Linked DNA regions of Drosophila melanogaster. Changing the gene in region 1 together with any one later gene gives a genetic interaction. Each region holds a gene or a part of one and is shown on either strand. Other genes may lie near its edges.

Evidence for each region.
Region 2: of fog (region 1) and tsl, changing one suppresses a phenotype caused by changing the other (phenotypic suppression), as found in Drosophila melanogaster (one study listed by BioGRID).
Region 3: of fog (region 1) and cta, changing one suppresses a phenotype caused by changing the other (phenotypic suppression), as found in Drosophila melanogaster (one study listed by BioGRID).
Region 4: of fog (region 1) and twi, changing one suppresses a phenotype caused by changing the other (phenotypic suppression), as found in Drosophila melanogaster (one study listed by BioGRID).

Annotation. Positions count from the first base shown.
Region 1 is NC_004354.4:22,851,970-22,857,075, forward strand, and holds the start of fog (folded gastrulation), read right to left. Parts: upstream 3,226-5,106; 5' UTR 3,074-3,225; exon of another isoform or gene 1,838-3,073; intron 1-1,837. UniProt on the Drosophila melanogaster protein: Coordinates cell shape changes during formation of the ventral furrow and invagination of the posterior midgut primordium, by inducing apical constriction of cells in spatially and temporally defined manners.
Region 2 is NT_033777.3:21,777,241-21,784,400, forward strand, and holds tsl (torso-like), read right to left. Parts: upstream 5,297-7,160; 5' UTR 5,244-5,296; exon of another isoform or gene 4,748-5,243; intron 4,666-4,747; exon of another isoform or gene 4,478-4,665; intron 2,544-4,477; 5' UTR 2,522-2,543; coding exon 2,312-2,521; intron 1,964-2,311; coding exon 1,112-1,963; 3' UTR 874-1,111; downstream 1-873. Other genes in the region: Polr1H (RNA polymerase I subunit H), read right to left, coding at 49-73, 138-357, 409-526.
Region 3 is NT_033779.5:22,979,861-22,985,148, reverse strand, and holds the start of cta (concertina), read right to left. Parts: upstream 3,334-5,288; 5' UTR 2,952-3,333; coding exon 2,556-2,951; intron 1-2,555. UniProt on the Drosophila melanogaster protein: May play a role in a signal transduction pathway used during gastrulation. Required specifically for the ventral furrow and posterior midgut invaginations, where it is necessary for coordinating cell shape changes.
Region 4 is NT_033778.4:22,983,503-22,988,707, reverse strand, and holds the start of twi (twist), read right to left. Parts: upstream 3,335-5,205; 5' UTR 3,217-3,334; exon of another isoform or gene 3,179-3,216; coding exon of another isoform or gene 2,380-3,178; exon of another isoform or gene 2,159-2,379; intron 1-2,158. Other genes in the region: CG32833 (uncharacterized protein), read left to right, coding at 3,394-4,200; CG32834 (uncharacterized protein), read left to right, coding at 4,433-5,205. UniProt on the Drosophila melanogaster protein: Involved in the establishment and dorsoventral patterning of germ layers in the embryo.

The DNA.
Region 1 (5,106 bases):
TATGACTCAACTTTTTACAAGCACTCTTTTACGCCAAATGTACATATGTATTGTATTTAGTACTTCCAGGTACGAACTTTTTCGGAACTTCTTACATCAGCATTAGCCGATTTCTTGGAATCCCCTTGAAAGCATTGTACAGAATGGGAATAGGATAGATTCCAGAAATTCCAGAACAAATAATCCCCAAGTTTTTCGTGTAAGTGGAGGTCGTATATTGCCATCGGTTTTTGGTTTTCGGCTTTTGGGCCCTCAGGCACGTACTGCCCTATGGATCGACCGTTTAATGCTGTTTGCCCCGATGCAGCTGAATCAATTTTACCACGGCTGCATAGCCATGGGCACAAGGGACTCAAGAGCCTCGAAAATAATTTCGTGATAGATTCGTTTTTTTTTTCGGTTGCTGATTTCATTCCACGTTCCCGGGGGGGTATCAACATAGGCATAAATATATGTATGTCCGGAAGACAATAGCTGTATAGATAATTTGAATCGGATAATTATTTTAGGAGTTATGGCTGAGTGACGGCTATCTGATAGTCGAGGCAATCGAAGCGAACTCTATCTATATAGTATTCATACATATGTATGTATACGTACCATCACAATACCCGTAATTTAATTTTCGTGCCGTCTGTAACACTTTCTATTGCTGATAATGACTTTTGGAGCATTTTGCGGGCGTTTTGGAACTTGCACAAAAAACATTTTGTAATTCATGTCTGCGCAAAAACAAATAAAAGAACGAGTCCACGGAAAAATTTACTAAATACACACATAAATATGGCCATTTTTCTCAGTGTGCATGTCAACAATTTCCCAGTCACTTGAGTGCTTGGCCACCCTTCCAGCTCTTTATTTTTTGGACAGTCGGTTAAATGCAATTAACTTGGTTACACTTTCATGCGGGAATAAAATTTTGGTACCGAAATTCGTTCATGGTTTGCTTTTAGTTTTCCATTTTAAGCCGCAATATATTTTGCGTCCAGCGGAAGTGATCACTTTGCCACATTGGCGCTGATAGTCACCGCGTGACTTCATCGGCATTATCATCATCATGTCCATTACCAGCGAACTCATGGAACTCACCTCTGTAAACATAATCGTGAACTCACTTGTTTGGCAAATGTTTGAGAGCGAACCCCGATAAGACACCTAATGCGCCTCGAATTGGTGTAGTTCGATTGTTTTGGTTGCATGATGACACTAAGGTCAGTTGTCATCCATTGTGGTCACGTCGTGAAATTGGTTTTTGCAATAACTAGTAAGGCGCTTGACCAGATTGAGAAATGTGCACGTGTCTATTGTTGTTCAAGAAGTGATTAAAAATGCTTTTAATATTTATCAGTTCGCTTTTAGGGAAACTATACCTACTCGTCAGTCAATGGCATGAGCCCAAACATATTCATGCTGAATCCATTTGGACGCGTAATAGCTACTTCGAAAAGCATTAGACTAAATACCTCCCGATTTGGTCATTTAAGATCTCAAGAGCCAGCTCTGTATCTGCAGAATGGCTAGATTTCCCACATCCGCAGAGTCAGAAGGTCAGCATCGGGCGTGAGACCGGAAAAACCGCTAGGATAAGCCCACGAAAACGAGACATCCTGATACCCAGGAAATAATGAAGCAGGATAATAAGGAGTACCAGAAACGAGATACTGTGGGTTTCGAATCTGTTATCCAAATTTTCTGGGCTGTATACATTTCGCTGGCTTCCTTTCAATTTAATTTGCATTAAGAAACAAGTTTCGCAGCGCAAAGTAATAATGGGTTATTCGATGGGCATTATAAAACACACATAAACGTTAAATAAAAATACATACAATCCACTTACTTTTGCTGTTTTATATCCCAAAACAAAGATGCCGAAGAAGGTGCGCTGCTTTTGCTTTTAGTTGCTTCTTCTTTGTCTTTTCCCCACTTTTGTTTTTCTTTGATTGTGGGTTAATATCAAGTTGTTGTAAAAATAAATTAGCATACAAATAAATAATAAACACCACAAATTGGCTCGTTTTGAATTTCGATTTGATGGCGGTTGAGCTTAATTTTTTGTTTGGTTTATTAAGAATTTTATATGTATGTGTTGATTGGCTTGCTGGTAAGAGCCAGTTCAAACTTGTAAGATACTAAATTTTTTTCAGTTGCTTAAAGTTTTCCCGTCGCTGGCTGCCTTTCATTTTTCGCTGCAGTTGTTAGGCTCATTAGGACAACACGGTTTTGTATTCGATTTTGTTGATTTATCTATTTTATTTCTCCAACTGTATCACATGTATTATCATATAATTCACAAAGACTTTTGCGCACACGAAAAAAAAACACACTACAACAAATCGACTTCAAAAGGTATCAATGGTAACATCCTGTTTGGGAAAAACGAAAGAGAATTATTTTGTATGCAACATTGAGTGCAATTCAAAAATAATGCCTACATGTGCACCGAAAATAGCTTAAGATTGTGAAATATTGTAGATATTTAATATATATCATTGTGAAATAACGTTAACTAAATATTTATAACTCAAAGCTAAGCTTCAAATTATGGTTGGTACTAGTATTTTAAAGTTGATCTCGGGTTTTTCAGTAGGCGAATCTATATGTACGGCGCACATATATTTTTAAGATTATAAATTATCGGACGCCTGTTGCTGTAAAGACAACAACAAGTACAACGACAACTGTTTCACAATGTAGTATAAACACAAAAGCGTAGTATATTTATACATGCCTCGTAGTATGTATTTTATTTTATTCTACTTTATTTTCACTTCGTTCGTTCTCTCTTTCCTGTTTCCTTTTACAGATAAGCATTCGAATGTTTTTTTGTTTTGTTTTAGTTTAGGTTCTTGTTCAAATTCAAATTAAAATCGGGTCAAATTTAGATAAAATAAAAGCACACGAAGAAACGTTTTTAAGGGACACAATCAGAAGATATTTATGTATATTACAAATTTATATTCCCATGTTACTATTTGCTTTTAAGTTATATGCGCCACGTTTTGACCGATTGCACATGTCTCTTAAATATCGAATTTATGTTACAAATTCAATCGAAATGATAGTGTTACTTTACTTTTTTCATTTGCTACTATTGTTGGTGATTTTTATCCGCTTTCTTCCCCCCTCATTTCTTTTAAGTTTTTTTTTTTGAAGAGACTGTAGCGGGCGGACAAGAGAACACGCACCGTTACCGATCACGTTCACAGTTGTTTTTTGAATGAGAAGCGGCTTCGAAACGTGTCGTCGCAGGCGTCGACGTCGGCGCCGCAGTCGCTGCGACAGACAGAGAGTGGTCAGATATAAATATACATGTACTGTATATATGTATATGTACGCGCGTTCGACAATGATCTTAGCCGAGAGAAAAGAGCCGATGCGCGGCATTAGGGAACTCTTTTCAAAGAGCGCGCTGAAGCCGCGCTCAGTTTTCATTGCTCTTAAGTTGCAACTGCACAAAGAAATCATTTTGCTGTTTTGATCGTGCATTGTTTTGAGTATGTATGTCATTAATTTAAAACAAGAGAGAACGCTATAGTCGAGTTCCCCGACTATCAGATACCCGTTATTCAGCAAGTCCAAGTGGGACGAGACTTTTCAACATTTTTCACGAACATTAGTAGAAATTGGTGGGAAAAAATTAATTTTAATTCTCTAAGGTCTGGGCAGGATATATTGGGCGGTTTAAGATAGCATATCTTCGGCATATCTATAAATTGGAAAAACAACTGGTTTAATACAAAAAAATTAAATCATTTCTCAAAAGTGTGGGAGTGTCAGTTTTGGTGCATTAGAGTGGGAATTTTTATCATATCGATAAAAATTAACAAGAGTCATAGAAATATGGAAAACTATCAAAACATTATGCAAAGGTGTGAGCGTGGCAGTTTTGGGAGGTTTGTGGGCGTGGCATCATGGGGAACAAACTTTCGCTGCGTCTAATGTCTCTAGAATCTAGCTTTTATATTTTCTGATATCTCGACGTTCATACGGACGGACAGACAGACGGACATGACCAGTTCGACTGGTCCTGATTGATCCTGATCACGATACATATATACACATGTACATATACAAGTACATGTACATATACATATACATATATGGTTGAAAACGCTTCCTTCTCCCTGTTACATTCTTTTTAACGAATCTAGTATACCCTTTTACTCTTCTCGACAATTCTCTTTTCTTTTTTGTTTTTCCCATACATGATTAACATTTTCTTCTGTTATGTTCTCTTGTTCTCAATTAGGGAGATGCTCTCTTTTGGCCGCCTGCAAAGGATGATTAATGATGTTCTCTGCTTTTAATTTTTTCTGAATGCTGCTAGTTGTTCAATTTAAAAAGGCAGTACGGCTCTTCCTGGTAATTTTCCGTTGGCTGTTTGTTTCTATTTACATATGTACTATGTATGTATGTATGTACCTTATTAAATAAAATTTTTATTTTCAATTTTGTCCGAGTTCGGTAGACCCCTACAGACACTACTAACATTCGGAAATATGTAAGGCTAACTGGAGTGGCCGGCTTAATAAAAATATCTCGGAAAAGCTGGAAAGTCGGAGATGGATTTCCTCGAAACCTAATTGAAGTTGATAGCAGTCATGGTTTTGTTCCCCGTCATCATCATTGGGCACTGAATCGCAAATCGCACTTCTTGGTAATTTTAGCCGCCACTTGAGCCTGTGCCGGTGTTTAGGCCAACATAATGGCCAATTAAGGCCACTTTGTCGTTTACAGCGTTTCAATTTCGATTTGATTAAGGTGAATTCCCTTTATTTTTTATGCAGTGATTCCGGCTAAAATTCATGAATAAAAGCAATTTTATGTAGATGATATAGATCATTACTTTAAAAAATAAATTTACAGAGTTAGCTTAGGGAACTAAAAATGACCACAACTAAACTAAGGGTATTTTGCCAAGTGTACGAATTGGGATCATCCCCATTTCCCTATTCTCTCATTCTTCGCCGTCTTCCCTTCGTATGGACTTATCGATGCGATGGTCAAGTGTGCGGGGCTCGTCTTCGGTCATTCGCCCAAAAACTAAAAATCGAAGAAACAAAAGTTAAACAAATAAGAAAAAATACCGAAATGTGTTTTCGTACT
Region 2 (7,160 bases), on another chromosome or scaffold:
TGATTATTTTCATTAATCTAGGACTATTTACACGGACATTGCTAGCAACTAAGAGTTTTCGGATTCTTTGAATCTGCAAGGTAGAATGTGTGTGATTAGTTGTGGAAGTGAAGGAATATGTTTATCAGGACACCTACTTGCACTTAAGGCAGGTAAAGAACACCGTCTGGCCTTCGTCCGCCGATCGAAGCTGCAGGGTGGCATAGGACATCTTGTCGTGGTTGCACTTGGGACACTTCCTCTCCACAACGGGGCCATCCGCGTCCGATTCCGACTCCCTTTTCGTCCTGTTGAACACCTTGCTGGGATCGTAGGTGTTGAAGTGTATGGTAAACTCGGACTTCTCGCCGCTGTAAACTATTTTTAAGTGTTAAATAAATTAAACAAAGTTGTAATTTCTGGATTTACCATCTGGCTGAAACTCCTTCTTGCAGTTGTAGCAAATCACATTGCCCTTGACTTGAAGCTCGGGCAGAATGGAGCCGCAGGAGGGGCAAAAGCCCGGACAATTGGAAAAAATATCCATGCCAGTATATATCACCCAAAATCAAAATCAAAATACAAAAACCGCACGTGCTATTTCGGATTTCAGTATGAGCGTAACTGAACCGTTTGAAATATACCACACGGTATTAAAAATATACTTGATTCATATACTAAATACGTAAGGGTGGAAAACTAGAATAAGTCTGGTTGAAAGCCTTGATGAAACGGGTAGAGCCGTTTACCCGTTTCGATTACCGGTTCTTAATCAAAATCAATTATTCAAAATAAACTTTCAAAATAGTATTTGATATTCATAGCCAATATTACGTAATGAAAACAGTTAGATTTTAATAGCCAATATCAAGTTATGAAAACAGTAAGATTTTTACTTTTATCTTTACTTTGTATTAAAGTTTACAAAACTATTACATCAATAAGGCGATCTTACGGTCTAGTTAGCTGAAATGCAAGTCGGATGTGTACTGTGTTCCAATTAAACTACCTAAAACTATCACAGGCAGAACATTAACTACGCACTAGAGGTTCCTAACTACAACTAAGCATCTAGGAACTATTGATCCTTGGCTGCCACATATCGCACAGTATATATATATTTAAAATGCAGCTATCGGGTGGGATGACTCTGCGGCATGTTAAGCTCCCAGAGCTTCACATTGTTGTCGAGAACCTCGTGGTACCAGCTCTCCTTTTCCGGCTCCTCCCGGAAGATGGGCTTCAGCGACTTGAGGTCCAACTGCAGTATGGCATCGTTGCCGAGCAGCGAGTCCAGGGATCGCAGTAGAGTACTATTACCGTGCAGTTTCAGCAGGGTCACATACTTGACCACATAGTACTCGTACTGCAGCTTCCTTCTCGCCCATCTTTCCACTGTAGCATTGGCACTAGCCGATCGAATCTGGCCCAGATGGGCGGCAAACCAGGGCGCAAAGTAGTTGTAAAGATCCAACTTGGACAGTCCGTTCAGACCTTTACTCTTGATTCGCTCCTTGATCATGCTGTAGTTCTTCCTGCTGTACACAAACACCTGATACAGCGAATTGCCGGTGGTGTATGAGTTTACGTAGTGGGTGCCCACATCTTCCATAAATCGCACTGCGGAAGTTATATTTCCGATTTGCAGTTGATCCATTCTCGATCGCACATCCGGCTCCAAGGGTTGGTGCACCGGAATCTCAGCGTTAAGACGCCCCGTTTCCCTGAAGCGCACCACCCTCACCAAAACATACGAGTAATCGCCTTGGATGAAAGATGTATTGATGCCCAGCTTCTTGGCCGCATTATCCGGAAACCATCCGCCAGTAAATGCCTCCCACGGTTTGTCCATTCGCTCAATGGAAAAGTCACGGAAGTAGGCCTGGAACAGTTGCCTCCGATTCTCGCAGAACTCCATGTGAAAGTCTCCATGAAAGATTCCGGGCGTGGTGTCTTCATGACTCTCCGCCAGGCCACTCAGATTCTGAAAGAAAAAAATCATTAATTATCTAATTGTCTAGTCAGCTCAATTATCAGGTAATAAATATCAAGTGACATACTTGAATAATCGTATATAATGATCGTTTTCCTAAATCTGATCAAACAAATATAATAAGCGCTCATTCTAACGACAAACGTGGCGGAAGTGAACAATATAATTACAACTAAAAATAGTTTTAAGTGATAACAACTTTAAACCCTATTTTAAAATTTTGATTATACTCCAAATAATTATGGTGATTGTGGTTAAAGGTTAATACAAACAATTCCGAGTTCATCAACGCCATTTAATTTATTAAATGTAAGCTTAACTCTGCCTTAAGTCCCTTACCCTATAGATGTTTTTGGTGGGCTCCTTAAACACCCAGCGATCCGGCTCCGAGTTGTCATTGAGCGGTATCACACGCATGGAGATTCCCAGGTAGCCATAGCGCAGGAATATATTGATGGCCTTGCCGATCCGGAGCTGGGACTCGCGACGACCTCCATCCGCCAGGAGCGCCAGGGTCAGCAGCCAGAAAAGGCCAGGCCACGACCGCATCGCTCAGCATTCAAGGTTAGATCTATAGAGGATTATAATAGAAATATTATATTGCAAATTTAAAGCGATTACACTTGAATTAGGCAAACGTTTCCATATTCCATATCCATATAATCCCTTGCTATAAAATATTATTGATTGAAACAAACGCAACCTATTCCGATCTCTTATAAAATTCGCAATTTAACAATAATGAGGCATATCTATCCCACAATAATTTATTCAAGTGACTAGATAACTCTTGATTGCAATGTGCATATTGATGACAAGCAAGTACAAACAGCGCTATACCATCCGAACTCATTACTCACTTAGACTAAAACCGGAAAGTTTTACAGCAAGCTACTTCGGTGGTTTGTTTATATTTTATAGCCAGTGCAGTAGTTGCGATACAGTGGGGTTAACTAAACAGCAATAATTGCAGGGCCGCCGTGTTTGTTTTCCACTCCATAAACGGGCGATAATATAAGCGCGCTCTAATTGGCCATGAACCTTCAGTGGCGCTGAACTTGAACCGACCAAGTCGACTTGGGTAGAGGCCACCAGCTGGTGGTGATGATGAGCTGGAGCTCTGCGTAGCTCCACTCTGATCACCTTAAGTGGATGCAATTAGCCGCAGGCTCTGTGGCCGTAAAAGCAGCTACAAAGTATAGCCATCAAAATTGGTTCGGCTGTCGCTTTGACTTGCAAATTATTTCCTAAAAACATTTTGCATGCCTCGTAACCGTTTTCCTATAGTTGGCCCACTACACTTCAGAGGACCGGTTATGCCGTTTTTGTTTTTTTTTTTTTTTTTTTCTGTCCAAGCATTATGGCCGGCAAGGAAGCCAAACAAATTGGCCCAAGCCAGACATATACACACATTCTAACAGCTTGGCGAGGCAGCTTTTAATTCGAGCCGTTATCACAGAACGAGCGACGTGTTTGATGGGCCAAAAACACAGAGGTTAGCCGGGTGTTAGCCACGTTTGTGAGTCACACCTGTCGACCCGACGCACTGAAGCGCAGCACCAGACAAAAAAAAAACACAAACGCAGCCATGATGAGACTCAAATGTTAACCATTTACGTGAACCATAAAATGTAGGCGTCGCTAAACTTGTCCAGCAGCAAAAACTAAACAAAAAACAGCAGGAAGAGTGACTGAATGAAACTAGCCGTGAATGGAACAAAGAAAAAGAGACATTTGACTACTGCATCTTGTCTATACTTGCCTATAGTACATATATTACTGCCCATGGGCGCGATTCCAGGAAATATTTGTTTGCACATTTTATAAACACATGAATATTTGCTAAATGCTGCAATCAGCTGTCTTGACCTTACAGATGAACCTCACAGATTGCAATCACTCTACGGATTTAAACATTCTGACTCGGCATAGAATACGATTTCGAAGGCTTCCAACTTCTGGCAAACAACTAATGCCCAAATGAGCTTAGTTCTCCATCGCGAGACCCAGAAAATCAAACTGTCGCACAATTGCCAAACTTGAGGTTCAAAATTTGAGATCCGCTTGAAAGGCATGTGTTATGTGACTTAATGATAGTTAGTTTTGTCGGTGGGGGTATTGACAATAGCGGACGCATAACCTTGTGCAAAAGACCCCAAAAAAAAAAAGAAGCCGCGAACCGGAGTTCGAGATGAAGAAGACGAATTAAATCAAAAATTCAATGCGCGCACTCGGACTCCAAAGCAAAGGCAACTAAAAATCAACTCGTTCAACTGTGACTCCCTGTGCACTGGGAGAAAAGAGTGTGGCTATCTAGGACTAGAACTGAATAAGAGAAGAATCAGTCAGCTCTTAACTCCTCTTTTGAGCTATTTGGAATCTTATTCCAATTGTTTATGCTTTTATCAGATTTAAATCGTTATTAGATTTGTTATTTGGCCTATATTTATCCAATAAGATTTTATAATGTGTATTTTTCTTGGACATCCTAAAAAACCTGCATACATTTCTCTCAGTGCTTCCCACCGTGGTTGTCCGCGGCCCAGTCAATTGGAGATTCTTTATGCGCATTTCATGAGCTCTTTTGTGGTAGTAGTCTGGAGTAAACCCCGGGCGAAGGGCACAGACGTGGGGCATAAGGTCTGCAGTTTATATCGCGCTTAATTTTATGCTTGGTCCGTGTGCGTTGTTTCCTTGAGCGGTGTTAAACAAAAGTTGTCTTGACTGCTGCTGAGGTGCTGCTGCTTTTGCCACTTTTGTGGTAGTATTATTTACCTGCACGAGAACTCGAACGCGAATCGAAATTGACGTAACCATCGGCCAGAAGCGGCTTGTTTTATTTTCGGCAGAAGCTTGAAGCTCCGGCTAATTCTATATGCCAGTCGACACAAATCCGCAGGTCTAGAGTTGTGGCTCGCCACTGGTTAGCCTTATCGCTCTGATACCGGGGGCCATTGCACAAGGCTGGTTGGCTGGCTTTATGGCTGGCATTAGCATCGTTAAGACTCCGATTTTTAACGCTTTGTGGGTCAGAGGTCGGCGGCTTGGTTGGCGCCCTCAAGTGATAAGACGGATCTATGAATAGATCGCTGTGGTTCGAATTACATGCGTTTGCGCAGATTTCAACAACCAACAACGTACACACACACACACACAGGCAGTCGTCAAGTACCCTGAACGGCAAACACTAAAACAGACTTAAAACACACTAAAACGAGCGACGACGTGCCTTCAATTGCAATTATAAGCCGGAATTTGCGGCAGCACTTACACTCAAAACGCGAGCAGCACACCTTCAAGCGCGAAGACTCAAAACCTAACTGAAACTGGCTACCAAAAACTCGATCGCCGGAGAGAACAAGCCGATCCGTTCAAGCAGCTACAGCAGCAGCAACAATATATGTTGCGCTACGACAGCAACATGTTGCTGCTGTGCGTCGTGTCGTCTGATCCAACCGAGCAACTGGCAGCAGTTGCAGTTCAATGACTGGCAGCCAGCAGAAGTTCTACTCCTCCAACGGTAGTGGCTATGGCTAATGCTAATGGCCTGGCACAAATATCTATTGTTGACATCTGCCGTTTGGGGGGACAGCTTTTCCGCTTATTAATATTTCCGAGCACGTCGTTCAACTTCCAGTTTTCTTCAATGGCGCGGGGAGTCGGAGGGCTGCCGAATCGAGGCAGATTGAAATGATTGCAGTTTACCCGGGCCAGACTTGCGCAAGATTCCCATAGAACTGGGCGGCCAGTAATCAAAAACTTTTGGTACTACTTGTGCAAAAAAAAAACTAATAATGAGACCAAAAGTAAGCCGAAAAATAAAAACGAAAACGAAAGTATCAAATTCGCATTACCTTGAAAACATGCTAACAAATTTGGGTCAACTCAAAGTGTTGGGCGACAACGTTTGAAGTTCGAGTGTAATGTTTCAATTAGAAGCTCAAGATACAAATGTATCTGTATCTGTATCTGTTGCTCAAAGAGCCATGGCTGCAGGGCATCCGCTTTGTCGCATTTGCCTTGACTTCCAATGGCCATTGGGAATTTCTGCAAAATTCGCTGCTGGCTTCTAAGAAATGAAAAGGTTCTGATTTGAAGTCTTTTTTTGCTGCTGATATGGGGGGGGGTCTTTCTTTTGGAAGAGGCGTTGGGGGAAGGGCTTCCGAAAAGTATTGCAAAAGCTGGTTGAAATTGTATCTCTCGTATATTTTTCTCTTTTCATATATAGAAGTTCATTTTATTACTTTTGTTTCGGTTTCTGTGTGGGTTTTGCTTTGTCTTTGCAGCATGCATGATTCAAAACTTATGTATTTAAAATTCGGTATTTCAGTGTTTACTCGTTTTTATTTAATTCTCATTCCAGTTTCTTCGGTTCTTTTTCATTTAATTTATTATTATTAATCCCATGTTTAAACTATGTATATATAATGACATTTTTATCATTTATTTTAAATGATATTTACTAACACCGCGGCCTTCTGCGCCCCAAACGATCGATCGATCTGCCGATCCATTCATTTCACTTCATTTATTATTATAATAACAATTCACTCAATTAGCTCAAATCGCGTCAATCTACACATATTGACATTGGAGATCATAAGCATTTTCAACTCATCTTTACCATCGTTACCCTCGGTATCATATCATCATCATAATGATCATTGACTTATGAAATTAGAGAAAAATTCTAATTCATTTGGTTTACGCGACCGTGTTCATCTCACTTCTGCGTCTTCCTTTTCTTTTTTTTTTATGTAATATCAACAATAAATTTTTACTTAATCTTAGTGTGAAATTATTCTTAGAGTACAGCTACAATCTGCTCGCATCGGCTAAGAAAAAAGGATCAAGTAAAAGTACGAAACGAATCATTCGAAATCCTAGCTCAATCTCAGGATACTCTCTGTCGGTATCGTTTTCTTTTTTTACCCCCCATTTCCAATTCATTTCAATCGTTCCTAATCATTGTAATACCGTAAAATATAAGATTTTGATTTGAGCATTCTTTTCCTAATCATTTCATCGATTTTTGGTGTTTTCTGGCACACTTAGCCTGGTTGGGGGAGCTTCAAAATGTACATACATCTATCTCAAGCCGTGTCATCTATAAGGTTCCTCCTCCTATCTGATCTCATCTCATCTCATCTCGTCTCGTCCGTTCGTTCAATCTATCGTTCGCTTTAAG
Region 3 (5,288 bases), on another chromosome or scaffold:
ATGGAATGGCCACTATACTCCCAGGACCTTAATACAATAGAAAACGTGTGGGGATGGTTGGCTGGGAAGGTATACGAGGGTGGTAAGCAATATGTCACTCAAGAGAAATCGATCACCGGAAAAAAGTTCGGTTGGTCTACGATTACTTTGGATTACCTAGAAAAAATATATGATTCACTTCCCAGACGAATGTGTGAAGTCCTTGAAAACAAAGGAGAAGCAACTAATTATTAGTTTTCTTTAAAAATATTAGATTTTAAACATTTAAGTGATAATCATCTAACTTTTTTCGAAATTAATAAAAAAAAACCTAAATTGTCATAGGGGCGCTATCCTGATGTTTTTTTTCTGGTGTTTTTGTTTTTCTTTTTTATTTCAACAAAAATCTATAAACAACAAACTGCATCCCATATAAACTTTTCATTTATGAAATTTTACAACTTTTAAGGGAAAAAATTTCAAAAACTTTCGCTTAAGCAGTTTTCTAAATGTCTCACATCAAAGATTTTTACTCAAGGTGCGCTAACCTGGTGAGGCGCAGTGTACATATGTATATTATTCATCAATATGAACAAGCGAATCGAAATATTCATGCTTGTCCGACCGTTTCTAATCAAACTAGCCTCTTGTCCAAACCTCTTCTTTCCATTGCACGAAATATAAGAGATGGAGCAAGATTTATATTGTTAATTTGTTTTATGAATGGATTAACAAAATATATGTGCAAAAGTTTGTGTTATGCTCATAACCGAATTATCGGTCTAAAACCTTGTTCGTTTCCGAGAAAAATCGACTAACACGTCAAAGTAGAAAATTAGACCTGGTTGGGGCCGGTGAAGAAATTCCATGAAATATCTTCAATTGTTTTTTCAAAAACAAGACATTTAAAAACATTCCCTGACTCACCCAAAGTAAACTCCTTACCCTTTCTGTGAACAAGAAACTATTACCCTTGAACAAGTCATTGAAAAAAACTCTGCATGCTTATAAAAAACAAAATGTTGTTCTTGAATGGAGATTTATTTTAAAAAATGCCTATAACAATTAAGTCCGTTTTGCAAAAGTATTTGATAGACTGTGCCTGGCAAAAATTTTGTAATGTGGACCATTATAATGTTTTTTAAATGATGATGCAGCGCGGGCCGGGCTTTATTTCAAGGCCCGCGGGCCTTTGCCAAAAAAATTGGGTTCGGGCCTCAAATTCGTCTTTCGTGCCCTAAGAAAAAAGCCCGCAGGCAGAACCGAAAGTTAAACTTGTTTGTCACAATCTAACAGGCGAGAACATCCTCAATAACGTTAAGGAAATTATGGAAGAATACAGTTTGGATTCTAATATCGATAAATCTATTTTGTTTGTGATCGGAGAAAGTATTAAAGATGTGCGCCAGTGAAATGCTCGATTCTGAAACCATAATTCAGCTGAAAAATAATACGTTAAATTCTTTACATAAAAGATGTGCACCATAAACGGCACATTATGTTGGACTCTTCTTAAATTCTCCCGTTAAGGAAATGTGTTGCTTATCGCCAAAAGTTAAGGAGAATGTAATTGTAACTGTCAAAGCAATGCTTTCAGAAATGCAAAGTGATGAGGAGTTTTATAGGATTAAGAACTGCAAGCCCAGATAAAAAGGGGTTAGGACTGTTTGCAGAATTTCAGGATTAAAAATTTTTCAAAAAAACTTAGTTACAACTAAATTCTTATGATATTGAAATAGAAAAATATTTAAATGGCTGTGCAGCTACTTCAGACCAAAATGTGTTAGAATTTTGGAAATGTAGTGAACTCAAGTTATTGAATTGCCATTCCGGCAAGCTCAGCGAATAGCAAAAGATTATTTTCTACCTCTGGAATTGTATTAAATGAGCGATGTACACGTTTAAAATGTTCTAATTTAAAAAAAAAAATATTTTTAAATAAAAACTTGTCATAAATTATGTTTAAAACACCAAAACTGTACTAAATATTAAGTTTTTTGCAATCAACTTTGTTTACAAAATATAAGAAATATAAATATAAGAAAACCGACATACTTTAAATTAAAAAAAATTGCATTGTTTTTATTTTTTAATTTGTTCGTGTTTAGCTTGGGCAGGGCCCCGGGCTTTTTTTGGGACTAGGTTTCGTGCTCGAGACGGGACGGGCCTCAAGAAGTAGGAAGTCTTCCATTACCTAAGTAGCGTGTATCTTATACTTGCGGAGCTCACAACTATAGGATTTCTCTTGTTTTTATATTTTTCGGTTACAAATATATAGCGCTTGTTGTATGTATGTATGTATGTATGTACATATATACTACTCGACCGACTTGCCTAGTCCTGTTAATTAAGAACACATACGTATAATTCTAGAATTGTTAGCAAAAAAACGTAACTTTTTAAATTAAATATATGCTTATAACATTGTACAGAAATTACATTTTAAACACATTATAATTTTTCCGCCATTGTACATAGACTTTAATTTGTCGAATATCTCCTTTACTTCGTTGTTAACATTTAAATAAAATAACCAACAGCAAGGGTTAGAAATCGATATCCCTAAATCACCTTACCTGACGTCGAAAGGTGTGTTTTTCTTTTTCCAGGAACTTATCAATCTCTTTGGACTTGTAGCGCTGCTCCAGTTCCTCAGGGGTACTACGCAGCCTTACTAGATATGTGATAATATTTCCGCAACATCGAAAGCAAGCAAAGCGCGAGGTCTGAAGCCGACTGCCCTGAAGTCGCAGTCGCTCTGCTCCATTCGATATTAGGCCGTCTGTAGACGTGGTCGCTGCTTCTGGTCCAGTTACCGCTCCCACCCGCGTGCGATGCTCTTCCATAAGATGAGTCAGAGTACCACTAAGCGTGTCACTATCTATGTTGTTTTCGACGCCGTTCGTGATGACATTGTTGTTTGGAATGGAAATTCGTTCTTGAGTTAATTTGGTCAATGTAATGCCAGACATCGCTGGCAAGCCAACGCCTGATGCTCGCACTTTCTATATACACACACGAACACCAATACGTCAAACACTCCCCACACTAACAGCAGATGCTCATCGTCTTGCTTTCGCTTTAATTTATAAACAAACACTTTTTGAATTCTGCATATTCTAATTGTAGGCCTCATATTAGATTAAAAGGCGATGTTGCCATCTGAAAGCCATAACCATTATTTCTACATGGCATCAGACTTAAACGCAACACAAATTCCGGAATAAAGTTCACACCAATAAGACACTGAACGTGATCGTTATTAGGTTATGACACTCTCAGCCATTACATTTACGTTTCTTTAGGAATATAATTGTAATTATATATGGAGCAAACAACAGCGGTGATAATAATTTTTGCCTGTATATAAAACATAAACATTCGTGTCAACTTTGTTATACCATGTTCCCACAGATCAGTTTTTCGGTGAAATTGGTTCCATATGTGAACCAATTTGACAATATTATAAGCAACAGGTCCAGCTCTTTAGTGTAAAGAATTATTAAAAACAAATTATTATATCGGGTTTACCAGGAATGTAATTTATAATTTAATTTTAAATTTTAAAGCATATAAGATAAAAAGAAAATGAGAAGAAAATATTATTCTTTAATTGGGAACAAAACAAATCAGTTACAATAACATTAATAAAAAAATTGGTTGTAGAATATTTCTTTAAAATTAAAACTTTATTTTAATGAAGTGACTTTTGGAGAGGGCACGTTCCCTTATAGGATGACCTGTATGGGATGAAAATTAAAAAAAAAAAAACATTTTTAACTTTTGCTATGGATACAGTAGCATTGATTGGTTTAATTCGCATTCTGTTTTATTTCGATATTAGGTTGATCCAATACACTAAAGCTAGGTAAGATTCAAAAAATATTTTTATATCTTAATCTTAATATCATGGCCATTAGCTTACATAGAGAAATAAATAAATAAATATTTATTCCGTTTTGCGTGCTCGCCACCTGTGTTTAAGATTTTTGGAATTCGTTTAGATTCTTTGTAAGGCTGTCAACTAATTAAAGCTAAGCTTAATATTGTTTAAGAGAGCTGGGCAGAAGGCTTTATTTCGGAAGCGGTGATCAGACTTGATGACAGCGTACTGTACTTTGCATCCGTCTTATAGCCCGGGGTGCAGCATGGCCGCCCTGGACGGCGGAACTACCAGGGTTCGAATAAACAATGTCACATCGAATTCAAACATTTTACACAATGTAATTCCGCAAGGTTCGCCAATTTCTGCGGTTTTATTTATGATTGCAATTGAAGAAATAAATAACATTGTAACTCGGCAAAAATATATTTACATCTCACTTTACAAAAATAAAAAATATTCATACAGTCAGCACAAAATTTTTAGAAATATTGCACGAAAATACCTCTCTGCCATTGAAAAATGCCAACTATTATAATTTGACGGAAAAAACGTTGTAATCTCTCCGCACAATAAATGATGTAAACTTTTTAAAAAATTTGGGGATGACCTTCGACTGCAAACTACTTTTCAAACAGCACTGTCAGATTCAAAGAAAACAACTGGAAACTAGATTTCACATTATTAAATTTCTATCATCTAAATATTCGTACATATAACTAAGACTCTCATAGATATTACGATTACGCACGCATTAATGCTATTTAAAATTGACTACCGTCTTCCAATCTGCGGCAGGCTAAGTGTTGGCGACAATACAAGGACAAAAGCAGGCTAAGTGTTGGCGACAAAAACAAGGGCAAAGGCAATGCTGTTGAGATTGGAGTGTGAAATTTGCTTATCAAATGGGCAGAGTTTATATTATGGGTTGGATAACTTGGCGGAATTCCGCGTAGAAGAAACTACATTGATGCTAATCTCGAAGCTGTACACCACGTCCAACTGCCTGCTAACCCATGACTTCGGAGCCATTTTCAAGCAAAAGCTGAATTTTTAATGCATATCCACTCTAACACGTTGCGCTGACTACATCAAGCAACTTGACCTCACCCTGCCTATGCACATTGGGGTTTCAAACAGCCTTCAGATCTACAAAGCTGAAAAAAAAGAAAGAAAAAGAAAAACTGAATTAATACCAATGGTTCTAAAGTCAACGACTCAACCACTTTTGTGGTCACCTTACTCTGGGTTCCCAATCATCAAGGAATCCACGGACTCGCTGACAACTGACAAACTCGCTGACAAAGCCGCCCAAGAGATGAGACTTACACCATCAGCCCTTTTGACTCTGCTTAGCTGCAAGGATATCCAAAGCTATACCTCAAAGAAAAGAGAACTCTCCGAATGGGCACTCTTAATGCACAGT
Region 4 (5,205 bases), on another chromosome or scaffold:
CCCTTTTTTTTTTGCCCGCACTGAGTTCGATTTATTGTGCGCGTCGTGGGGACAACATGTTTAATTAACGAACACAATGAAGGAGAGTCGCAACAACAGGAGTTTGTCACCGACTTTCGGTGAAATTTCTGACTCTCTGGTGACATTTGAAAAGTTTAAAATAATATAATTTTCGACGCTATATGGCAAACTAACAAGTTCGACCCGGAAGCTCAGCGATGGGCGCTGGCAACTGAGCGATGTGGGTATTTTCGGGGCGTTTGTCTTAGCTAACTTTCCGCCCGGGAAAGGAGAAACTTTTTCGGCTGCACTGTTGCACCCACCCACACACACACACCCATACACACTCTTACTCACACACACGAAGATCTATTGTAAAATATGTAAGAAAGTTTCCTTGGCCTGGGTGGGAAAACGCTGCGTTTTCGGGAAAGCAGCAGCAGCATCGACGTTGTCTTTGGGGAAATTAAACATTTTCTATTTGAAAACTTTGCCGTGTGTGGGGGGCGGGGGGTGTAACGGCATTTGAAGCGGTGGATTTTCCAAAGGTTCAAGAGCAACAGTTGCCTTTTGAACTGTTTCGGGTCGGTCACACTTTGGCACTGCGCTGGATTCCCTTTGTTCCACCCAACAATTGCGGAAGTCATAATTTCTCAGCCGGCCAAGTTTCTGGTTTTTTGACAAATTTAGCTGCAAATTGTCGGCAAAACTTTAGTTCCAGCTTAAAACTGGAATGGGTCTCCAGTCCCGTGCCTTCGGATCCAAATGTCAAGCGGCTTGCTGTCATAGGTGTTGCATATTTAATGCGCCGCCGCCGATGGCAACACACGCGGCACAGCAGCGCTGAGGAGCAGCTGCATCCCCAGCACGGCGATTCGGACAAGTGCACCCAGAGTGCATGCAAATATTTTTGTCAACGATTGTTTTGCCGGCTCCCTCGATTCCGAGTGGCGAGCTGTGACTGCGGGGGCGGGCGGGAAAAGTCCGGGAAAAGCGGGTCAGGGAAAAGGGAGCGAGGACGAGGACAGTGGTAACCCATGTTTTTGTTGTTGCCAACGGTTTGAGTAATTGTCGCTGGTGTGAAAATTGGCAACGATGCCATCGAGCTGGAAAAGGATTTACTGGGTTATGTATGAGCCAAAGGCTGATTGAGATGGAGGAGCAGCTGGATCGAGCTGGAAATGGCCATCGATGGACGTCTATGGCGTTAGCGATGTTGCCAAAACTGAAATATTCATTAGGCCAGCAAAAAAAACCAATTGAGGTCATTTGAAAAGTGGCCTTGCTTAGCAAATCTGTTGAATATTATAAAATGGTGAGAAAGGCACTTGCTTTTAACATAATTAATCCTTTTTTTTCAAGCATAACAGTTTAACAAAAGATCATGAATAGTACGCGAATATATCCCATTAACTAAATTAATTAAAGCCTCGTATAAAGCGAGCAAGCTTTCCTGATTTTGCGTAAATAAAATCAATTAAATAGAGCTAAAAAAAGCACACCCAAACAATATTTGACAAAAGAAAACGTAGATCCAGGGGCAAATTGAAAACACGATTCAGCCCGCCGAAAAAACCCAATAAAATGGTAATAAAAAACCCAGCAACCAAAAATGATTTTCACATTGATAAAAATTAAATGCGATTCGGGGCGAAAGCAATGCGATGTGTTGCATCTGCTGGGACATTATCAAATAATTCAGTTGTAATCCATTTTAATCCGCCTGCCTGGCTGCGAAACCGACCCACTTGACATGGCGAATCATCAAAATGTTTGTTTACTTGCCCCATGCCCCATGCCCCTTGCCCCTCGCCAGCTCTCTCCTGCCACTTTCCTCCATGAAAGTATTTATTTCGACATTTTGCTAAACATTGCCCAGATTTAAATCTGCATTCATGTAAAATTGCATAAATACATGCAAATATCGCTTGATGGAAATGTCCAGCTATATTTCAGTCACCCACGTTTTTTTTACTCTGCAGGAATTATTCAAATATTTAAGCGGCTTAGTGTAATGGCTGGTGAGTTTTGTCTCAAATCGGAGGACGGGTACAAAGCCGCTCTAAGCGAAAAGAATCGATGCGGCTGCTTAAATTATACTTTATAATTTGGGCATATATGTGGATTACCCCAATTGGCAATTGAACGTATAATAGTTCGGTTTTATATTCAATCGATTGCGCACAGGGCGTATTTATCATTCAAAATGTTTCAAATGCCAATATGGATTGTAATACATTGTAATACATATTCTTCTTACATTACAAAATAGATTCTTCGAAAGGTAGATAAGAAGAGTATTCCAAAGCTATTCCGTTTAATTAACAAAGAATCCCATAAAAAGAGGAGCACGCCCTTCACGAAAGTCAGTTAAAGAGAATGTTAGCCCCACTAATCCTCCTGCAGATTGTGGCTCTGCCTTGGTTGGCTCTCGGAGATCAGCGGATCATAAACGGAAACACTGTCAACATTAAGGATGCACCGTGGTATGCCTCCATCATAGTCAATTCGAAGCTCAAGTGCGGTGGTGCCATTATCTCGAAGAACTACATCCTGACTGCCGCCAAGTGTGTGGATGGCTACAGCGCCAGGAGCATACAAGTCAGGTTGGGAACCAGCAGCTGCGGCACTAGTGGATCAATTGCTGGAATCTGTAAGGTCAAAGTTCATAGCCAGTACTCCAGCTGGCGCTTTGACAATAACTTGGCTCTCTTGAAAACCTGCGAGCTACTCAACACCACCGATGAAATAAAGCCAATTGAGAGGGCCGACAAAGTGCCGGATGATAATTCTCGAGCCAATGTGACTGGCTGTGGTGGCAGATCAGGCAATTTCCTTGACCTTATCTTAGACTTAGAGGATTAGCAGCGGAATAGAAGAGAAGTGCTTCCAGCTGCCTGTCCAATTGCACGGCACTCAAGTGCGGATCCTTAGCCAAAAACAGTGCGCCGCCGACTGGAAAGTCATACCATTTTACTTACTCAAGGGAATCTCAGACCTGACCATCTGCACCAAGTCGCCGGGCAAGGGAGCCTGCTCCACAGACAGGGGTTCGCCTCTGGTCATCGACAACAAGCTCGTGGGCATCCTCTCCAGAGCGGGCTGCTCCATTAAGCCCGATGTCTATGCAAATATCCTGGGGCACACGAACTGGCTGGACTCGAATACGAAGGATTAATATCTTACTTGCTGTGAATAGTTTAATGATAATATTACCTTGCCTTCTGTAGATCTATATTTGAATTTGTAAAGCACAGAATAAAGAACATTGCACAATGGCTTAAAGTGAGAAAAATTTTAACACACCGTAAAGTAAAACAAATTAATTTGCTATGCTTTGTGCCAATACTATAAAATTTAAACAGCCTGCTATATGCACATTTATTTGGCATCATGCTTCTGCGATCTCTACCAATTTTCCTTGCACTCTTTGTCCTTTCCAAAAGTGACACGGGTGCAGGTGAAGATTCGGAAGAGGACGACGAAAACGACTGCAACCGGACGACTCTTGGTGGTCATCCCGTGAACATAACCACAGCGCCATGGATTGCTTCCATTTCGATCAAACAAAAGGCCAAGTGCGACGGAGCGATATACAAACTGAGTCACATTGTGACAGCCGGGAAATGTGTGGATGGATTCCTGAACAAGGTGATCCGTGTACGAGTGGGTAGCACTACGCGCAGCGATGGAGTCATCGAAGTAGCAGTCTGCAACATTACAGTTCACGAAAAGTTCACCGGCCAGACAGTATTTCACAATGTGGCCATATTAAAGTTGTGCGAACCGCTCGAGGCCTCCAAAACGATCCAGCCAATTCAGTTGGCCAACCAGCTTCCGTCTAATGGGGCAAAGGTCACGGCCAACGGGTGGCCCTCCTTCAGGTGGTGGGCAATGTATTGGAAGAAGTGTCTGGATGATGAAGCCTACAAGCTGCAGAAGGCCGAGGTGAAGCTACTTGGCCCTAGCCAGTGCACAGATCTGTGGGCGCGAAACAATTGGTCCAAAAAGAATTTTACAGATGACTTGTTCTGCACCGAGAAGTTCGCTAAGGAAGCCTGCTCTTTAGCGATGGGATCACCTGTGGTCCACAATGGCAAACTGGTCGGCATTATAACGAAAGGCGGCTGTTCGGAGTATCCAGAAGTCTATATCAATCTTATAAAGTACAAGGACTGGCTGCATAATCATACAAAGTAAACTTAAGCGTTCTCCCAATTAATTGTTAAAAAATACTTTGCCTTCGAGCTATGACTATGTGCAGATTAGTGCAAGTAATACGCAATACTTCCTATTTTGATAGAGCTTCGAAGTAAAGCCATCACTCAATTTGAGGTATGACTTTGCAGATAAGGAGCTCTAGCCTTGAAAACGACTTAACTTTTCCTATAAAAAGAGTCGCACATGCAGCTCTAAAAATCAGTTGTTTATAATGATTTGGAGTGTGTTCTTATTTCTGTTGGCTGCTCTTTTACGGCCGGTTCGTGGTGATCTGGATGCCCAAAGCCGCATCATTGGAGGTTATGATGTGGATATTGAAGATGCCCCGTACCAGGCGGAAGTAATAATAGATGGCACAGCAATATGCAGTGGGGCGATCATCACATCAGACACCATCATCACAGCAGCTTCGTGTGTCCAGTCCTACGGTTCAATTGAAGTACGCGTGGGCACCAGTTCCCGCGATTATGATGGAACTGGATTCCTGCTCGAAGTCTGTGAAATAATTAATCACCCGCAGTACAATTGCTGGCGTTTCGATAACAATCTGGCACTGTTGAAGTTGTGCGATCCGCTCAAGACCTCCGAAGCTATTCAGCCCATCAGCATAGCAGAGGATGAACCGGACGATGGTTCGTGGTGCACTGTCTCCGGCTGGGGATCCACCAGTTGGTGGGGCAGCTGGTGGGACAGGTGCTTCGGCAGTCTGCCGGACTATCTGCAGATGGCATGGGTCAGCGTCTACAATCGGGAGCAGTGCGCCGCGGATCGCGGTGTTTGGTTCGGACTCTGGGACAATGGCATCTCGTACCTTACCCTCTGCACTCATAATGGCGCCGGAGGATGCTCCTACGATACGGGAGCTCCCTTGGTGATAGATGGACAACTCGTGGGCATTCTATCCGAAGGCGGCTGCACCACCAAACCAGATGTCTACGCCAATGTACCTTGGTTCACAGGTTGGATTGCCGAGAACACCGAAGA